2 linked regions of the Danio rerio genome follow. The protein of the gene in region 2 interacts with the protein of the main gene of each other region in a pairwise test. Links are inferred from orthologs where the notes say so. Each region holds a gene or a part of one and is shown on either strand. Other genes may lie near its edges.

Evidence for each region.
Region 1: the proteins of sgtb (region 2) and serpine1 interact in binary tests that used the Homo sapiens proteins (3 or more experiments, as listed by UniProt). The two-hybrid records come from large-scale screens. The link is inferred for Danio rerio from reciprocal best matches to the Homo sapiens genes SGTB and SERPINE1.

The regions. Positions count from the first base shown.
Region 1 is NC_133182.1:26,294,624-26,298,693, reverse strand, and holds the start of serpine1 (plasminogen activator inhibitor 1), read left to right. Parts: upstream 1-1,270; 5' UTR 1,271-1,372; intron 1,373-2,365; 5' UTR 2,366-2,374; coding exon 2,375-2,615; intron 2,616-2,723; coding exon 2,724-2,948; intron 2,949-3,089; coding exon 3,090-3,284; intron 3,285-3,365; coding exon 3,366-3,564; intron 3,565-3,658; coding exon 3,659-3,759; intron 3,760-4,070. UniProt on the Homo sapiens protein: Serine protease inhibitor. Inhibits TMPRSS7. Is a primary inhibitor of tissue-type plasminogen activator (PLAT) and urokinase-type plasminogen activator (PLAU).
Region 2 is NC_133185.1:17,682,918-17,686,854, reverse strand, and holds the start of sgtb (small glutamine-rich tetratricopeptide repeat-containing protein beta), read left to right. Parts: upstream 1-1,137; 5' UTR 1,138-1,201; coding exon 1,202-1,238; intron 1,239-3,642; coding exon 3,643-3,747; intron 3,748-3,937. UniProt on the Homo sapiens protein: Co-chaperone that binds directly to HSC70 and HSP70 and regulates their ATPase activity.

The DNA.
Region 1 (4,070 bases), on a different chromosome or scaffold from region 2:
TGGCGGTTCTAAGCCGAAAAAAAAGAAAGAATAATGAGTAAATAATAACCCAAACAAATGAACAAACTGAACAAAAGGCATTTCTATATACACACTCACTATAGCCTACCTAATAATATCATTTATCCATATTAGTTTTTGAGCCATTTTATTAATGCAGCTTCTTCTATTGATATACTGTACCTTAAGGTAAATATTAAATTGCCATTGTTGTCTATTGAAGGTGTGTGCGTGCTGTCAACGACGATCGGGGAGGGTAGTGGCGGTTCTAGTTTAAATGACACCCTGGCAAACCACCCCATACACCCCACCTCCCTTGAATTGTTAGATTTGTTATTTAATAAACATAACAAACAACATAATAAAACAACAACTGGAGTGATATGCCAAGACCACTTAAGAAACCTTTTGCATGAAAATTAATTATAACAATTCTAAAGAATTATCTGTGGTCTTAGACCAGATCATGGCTGAGAAATCATGTTATGAAGTCTTACCTCCCTGACTCATTATCCATCCTTTCTGCTTTAAAGCCATGTTTAGTAATCATCATATTATATAAACTTTAGTCGACTTTAAAAACTCGCTGCGTGCCTACACCTCTGCACAAAAGGCTGTTACTCCGGTTTCACGGCACATGAGCGGCGCCTATTTTATTGGCGTGCATGGAAACAACCAACCGGGATTCACACAGGAGTGCGTGAGGCGCGCGGGAATGGTTTTCTGCGCGCATGCGTCAGTTTGCTTTCACCAGCATTGAACCAGAGGGGGAGAGCTAGGTCAGTAACACCAACAATAATTTAGTGACTGCATTTTATGTATTTATTTATTTAAATATTGGGAATTTATAAGTACATTTAAATCAATAATGTCAACAGCAAAATTATATTGGGGTGGCCACAGGGGTGGCCAGAGTTTACCGTGGGGTGGCCGTGGCCACCCCTGGCCACCCCTTGGGGGCGCCCCTGTACTCAACACTGTTTATTAAACAAACGCTTTACAAAGTTTTAATGACTGAACGAGGTGCTGTGACTGCTGTCTCTGTCAGACTAAATGTATGACTTAACTGTTTAACAGTCTAGTAAAAATGAAAGGAGAGACAGACAGGGGGAGAGACACCGTTGAAAAAATAGTGTTTATGTTTGTCTGTGTGAAAAGCGGAGAGCGGGAATGAAAAGCAGACGATATGACATCATAACTTCCGCTAGTGCGTGCGCGTCTGAGGGGGAGGACAAGAGTCCTTTAAATAGAGACCGAGCTCCTGGCAGGCACACAGAGCAGCTCTAGGCTTCCACTGCATTGGATGATCACAGTAACGCCTTACATCTACAGAGATTACAGAGAAACTCTACAGAAGTAAAGCATCTTTAAGGTAACTTTGTGTTCTTGTTCTGTCTCATTTCGTAGGCTTAATGTTACATATGGGCTGATTGTTATTCAGTCGAGAGTCAAACTTTTCTAGTACAATTTTGGTAACATTCACTTGTGATCGATTAATTGGAGACATTTTGGTTTGCTCTGGGGGTAAAAAGCATGTGCAAAAAGCAATTAATATTTATTAATAATTTAAAGCTAAATATTAGGTGGTCTGACCTGTACACTTTACCAAAAAATAATTTACTTTAAAATTGGGTTTTCCCACATTTTAAAAAATGAAAATTAACTCAATTTGCTCTCCCTCAAGTGGTTTCATACTTTCATGATTTTATATATATATATATATATATATATATATATATATATATATATATATATATATATATATATATATATATATTTTTTTTTTTATTATTTTTTTTATTTATTTATTTATTTATTATTATTATTTTATTATTATTATTCAGTTGAAGATAAAAAGATATTTTGAAGAATGCTGGAAACCTGTAACTATTGACTGTCCAAATATTAAAATCAAATGTTGCAGGTTTCCAGCATTCATCAAAATATCATAATTTAAAATCATAATATTATAATCAAATTGTTTAATAAATGAAAGAACCCTAAATTTTTAACATGTTAATAGTGAGTAAATGATGATAGAATGTTCAGCATTGGGTTAACTGTCATTTTTAGTGTTTAAAGTCAAAGATTATGTGCTATGGTAGTCTTTACATAAACACGCCAGATATGAGTGAGTCAAGACAAGCAAACAGAGACGGCGTGGTATTGCGTTTGAGTGGTTGGTGTTGAGTCTTGCACATGAGAGAGAATTTTCACAAGGGAAAGTAAAGAGCTTGTTCTCTTTTTGGAGGAGGTTGAAACATTTTTTGTCCTGAACAATATGCTAAGTGAACACACCCTCACTGTCACCCAGAAATATACAATAATCGCTGACATTTCTCTCTCTCTCTGTCTTTTTCAATAGATATTCAGAATGCAGAGCCTGAGTGTGCTACTGATCTTTGCCCTTTGCGCATCAAGCTTGTGCAACCTTATCCAGGACAAACAGACAGATTTTGGGCTACAGGTGTTTGCTGAAGCCGTCCAGTCTGCTCCAGATCGAAATCTGGCTCTCTCTCCATATGGTATCGCCTCGGTGCTGGGAATGGCTCAGATGGGTGCCTATGGCGCTACTCTAAAACTGCTCGCCTCCAAGATGGGCTACTCTCTGCAAGGTAGATAAATAAAAGCGACTCAGATTAAACAAAAACTATCATGTTGTTAAATAAAAATGTATTCTGAATGTGATATGTAAATGTTGCTTTTCTCTTTCTTTCCGACAGAAAGAGGAATGCCCAAACTGCAGAGGCTTCTTCAGAGAGATCTGGCCAGTGAAGATGGAGTGGAGGTGGCCAGCGGGGTCATGGTTGACCGGAAGATCATCTTGGAAAAGGTCTTTAGGCGCAGCTTGAGCAAAGCCTTCCAGAGCGTCCCACACCAGATAGACTTCAGCCAGCCAGAGATGGCCAGGCAGGTGATCAACTCCTGGACGTCTGACCACACTGGTGGTGTGTATGCTATTTTGACTAAACTGCCTTTGATATTCTTCATTTGTACAACTCTTTGGATAAAAAAGGATTGCGTGCCAATATAAGCTCACCATACGCTATATAAGATGCTAAACTTGTTTGTTGTTGTCATCATCCTAGGAATGATTTCTGAGTTCCTCCCATCTGGAGTGCTGAGTGAACTGACACGGTTAGTCCTCCTGAATGCCCTGCACTTCCACGGGGTCTGGAAGACACCATTTGACCCCAGAAACACTCGAGAGCAGCTCTTCCACACAGTCAATGGCAGTGCTGTATCTGTTCCTATGATGACAACCACTCAAAAATTCAACTATGGTGAGTTTCAAAGAATTTCAGTGATGGGTTAGTGAGAAAACAAGAACTTTTGTTGTTATTTACAAAGTTGTTTTATTTTAGGTGAGTTCGTGTCTAAGGATGGCGTGGACTATGACGTCATCGAGATACCTTATGAGGGGGAGTCGATAAGTATGCTCCTGGTGACACCTTTTGAGAAGGACGTGCCTCTGTCTGCCTTGAACAAAGAGCTGAGCAGCAGCAGGATCCACCAGTGGAGACAAGAAATGAGGAAGATAAGCAAACAGCTGTCTATTCCAAGGTAACCAACTTGATCTATTTCTGTAAGCTTTGGGATTTTCTGTTGTGATGATGAACATGTAAAATAGGAGGCCTAACTTATGTTATATTTTCAGGTTCTCCATGGATACTGAAATTGATCTGAAGTCCACACTGAGCAGAATGGGTCTTGGAGACATTTTCAGCCAGAGTAGAGCTGATTTCTCTCGCATTACTAGTGAGTATTAGGAATTATTAACAGCTTTGTTTGGGAACATTTGTAGCCATTTAGTTAATATTAGGGCTGCACAATATTGGAAAAAATAGATATTTTGATATTTATATGTTTTGCTATTTATACTGCGATATTTAACCAGATCACTTGAATAGCTTTATTTAGAAAAATTAACAATTTTAGATTGATTGATTAGGATGATTTTGTATGGGATCTACAGATGAGCATTTGGGAACAAATAAAAATAAACTATAAGCATAGATAAGCAAAGATACAAATAATGGAGTTTAACAGAATTCAGGTACAGAAATAAA
Region 2 (3,937 bases):
TTGAATAAACTAAATTGACCGTAGTGTATGTGTGTGATTGAGAGTGTATGGGTGTTTCCCAGTACTGGGTTGCAACCGTAAGGGTATCATATGCTGGATAAATTGATGGTTCATCCCACTGTGATGACTCCTGATAATTAAAGAGACTAAACCAAATAAGGAAAATGAATGAATGAATAATTTAGTCAATATATGTTTGCTTTATATAGCAGTCTGTGATGTAGGCCTATTGTATCATTTGCTGACTTGCTGCTGTACTATGACCGAAAAAGGGACATTAATTAGTATCAATTATAATTGGTGCTCATCGCTCAGTCATTAAAATGGTTATTATTATTATAAGTTAAATATGTTTCATATTTCCTGCTTCATATTTTGAGGGCTTTGACACTTTAATAATCATGATTCTCCACAAAACTCTGAAGCAGCACAACTGTTTTCTTCTTATAATAATCAGTAATGTTTCTAGACTCGAGCATATCATTTTAGGCGCGATTTCTAATGGCTTGTATTAAACTGAAGACTGAGTCATTTTTTGTTTTCATATAGTCACAATACATTGTGTGGGGCGGCACGATGGCTCAGTGGTTAGCTCTATCACCTCACAGAAAGAAGGTCGCTGGTTTGAGTCCTGGCAGGACCAGTGGGCTTTTCTGAGTGGAGTTTGCATGTTTTCCCCGTGTTCGTGTAGGTTTTCTCCGGGTGTTACGGTTTCCCCACAGTCCAAAGCATGAGCTATAGATGAATTGAATAAACTAAATTAGCTGTAGTGTGTGTGTGAATGTGAGTGTAGCCTATGGACGTTACCCAGTAAAGTTAGCTACTGGGTTGTGGCTGGAAGGACATTCACTGTGTAAAACAATAGTTGGCAGTTCATTCCGCTGTGGCGGCCTTTGAAATTAGTCTCTCTGAAATAGAGACTAAGCTGAAGGAAAATGAATGAATTTTGGTATGAAATTTTTTGACACATCATCTCTTGTAACTGACTATAAATTATTAAAACTACATTGAGTTATAATATTTATCAAAGGTTTTATTAAATATAAAATGAATAATTAATTTTATATAGAAAGCTAAACTCGCGTCTTATACGTAATAAGATTATGAATAAAACTCTTCATGGTGGTGGTGATCCTCGACCAGTCATTTCCGTCAGTGATGCGCGTGCGCAGTGCTGAGCATCAGTGTCACGAGAGTGTTCATGACTGTGGAGCGAGCGCTGCGGGCACTTTCTCCAGGTAGGTGGGCGGGGGCGCGCACAGCATCCACAACACTATAATGTTATTGATATTTTTACGCTTTATGAGAAATGCGAAGCTATTGAAGAAGAGTACCAGAGGTTTCTCTTTCCGTGCGTTAAATAAACTGCGAACGTGTTCAGCCATTGCACAGCCCCCTGCAATCTGTGTAAAGCAGTGTAAACACGGACCATCTGTGATGCACACACTAGTGCTGATCTGCGATATGGGTGTATTTAGAAATATACAGGAGGTTTAATGATGTTTCATGTTGTAGGGTGACATTTTGATTCAGTTGTTGTCAGCATTACATCATAACTGCATCATATGTTTTGGCTTTTGTTATCTAGGGACGTATGTTGTGCTTGACTGTGTATCGCAGCTGTGTGAAAGTATTATGTATATTCTGTAAGAGTGGCACCAGAAGTATTTATGTGTCAAATATGGCTTTGATGATCAGAAGCTTATAAAATAATTCATAGGTGAACGTTATGTAATTAACCCCTGCAACAACACACACAGCAGCATTATGTATACAACGTTAACATAAACATACTTAACCCTATGGTATTGTTTATATCACACATGTGTTTGATGGCCAAAACAATGATTTTAATGATACAATAGTTGTATTTTTATAAAAATGTAAATGTTTTTTTTTTCATTTTTGCTATTTTGGATTTTATGGTACTAAAATAGTCACATTTATTTTGGACAATTATTTCATATTCTAATGCAATGGGTGCTATTTATTAAAATTAATGCTGTGCTTGAGTTTTATAATACAAGTACTTAAAGTATGTGAAATTCTTTAGAGGGAAATTAGTGCCACTCAGTGGGTAGACTATTTGTTCATGAGCACTTTTGCAATGTGCTATTGACTTATACAGCACTTCAACAGAGAACTTAATATTGAGTGAATTTGTATGATCTGTTCTCTGTTTTGTTTCCCCAGAGCATTGAACATTGTGTCTCAAAGTAACAATGTGGTGTTTCGTTTCTCAATGAATCTGCCATCTGCGATCATTTAGCATATTTGAAACAAGTCCACGGTTTTCTGACTGTATGTTTGCATAGCGAGTGCTGCAAAAGTCACAAACTTTCATACCATTCTGTTGAATTTACAATATAAAACAAATAGTTTTGTCTGAATAAGACCAGAGGGTTAAGTACTGTATATTAATATATCAGTAAAGATTTTAAGCCAACATCTTAAAAATGGAAACATTGATGTAATACTCAACACTGATGAGGAGTAAAACTAGATATTGACAGAGCTTGTGATGAAGATGAAGTTGTTTTTTCATGTTAAATTCGCATAGCAAGTGCTACAAAGTCAACACATTTCATAGCATTCAAGGGAAGTTCTGTTCTTTTTTTTTATCAAGAACATTTTGGGAATTAGAAAATGCAATGGTGATATTATATTTTATTATAATATAAAATTAAAAGCAGGAAAATGTACAACATATTCTCCTATATGTCATGTACAACATATTCTCAACTATTCAAGGCGTAGCCTTGGGCTGCAGGGGGTCCGGTTCGGGGACCACAGGATGTCATCTCTGTTACTCATAGACGATGTTGTTCTGTTGGCTTCATCGAACATCGACCTTTAGCATGCATTCGGTTTGCTGCCGAGTGTGACGCGGCTGGGATGAGAATCAGCACCTCCAAGTCCGAGGCCATGATGCTCCACCGGAAAAAGGTGGTTTGCCATTTCCAGGTTGGAGGAAAGTCCTTACCCCAGATGGAGGAGTTTAAGTATCTCGGGGTTTTGTTCAAGGGTGAGAGAAGGATGGAACATGAGATTGACAGGCTTATTGGTAATGCGGTCAATGTACCAGTTTGTTGTGGTAAAGAAGGAGCTGAACCGAAAGGCAAAGCTCTCGATTTAAAGGTCAATCGGTCAATCTACGTTCCTACTCTCACCTACGGTCATAAGCTTTGGGTCATGACCGAAAGGACAAGCTCTTGGAAACAAGCAGCCGAAATGAGTTTCCTTCGAAGGGTGGCAGGGCGCACTCTTATGTCGGAGCTCTGAAACTCAGGAGGAGCCTTCCACCGGGAGGAGGCCTTGGGGAAGACCCAGGACATGCTGGAGTGACTATGTCTCTCGGCTGGCCTGGGAATGCCTCGGGATCCCCCCGGAGGAACTGGAGGAAGTTATCTGGGGAGAGGGAAGTCTGGGGTTCTCTCCTAGTCCTAAGATTGCTGACCCCACAACCCGGCCCCGGAAAAGCGACAGAAAATGAATGATATCTTATAATACAATTATTCTTCTTTTATCTAACCCTTCAGTGTCTTCCTTTAATGTCCGATTTGTCCAATGTCTGATTTGGTTAAAACATTTTTTTTTTTCAATAATCCTGTATCAACAAATCTTTTCTCTGGTTTCTCCCAGACAAAATGGCAGTGGAAAAGCGTTTGGCATATTCTATGGTGCAGTTCCTCAGAGATCAGACACACTGTGGCTCACTGAATTCAGATGAACAGGAGAGTCTGGAAGGTAGGTCACCTCATGTTTAAAACATTTAAAGTCACAGACTCACAGGCCTTTTTTTTTCTTTACTCCTGGACTGTCTGTTCAGTTTCTATTTCATGTCAGATCAAAAGGGCTTTCTTGTCATTAGCACTGCAAACTGTTGTATGCATTAGGGCTGCACAATGTTGGAAAAATTTGACATTGCAATATTTTG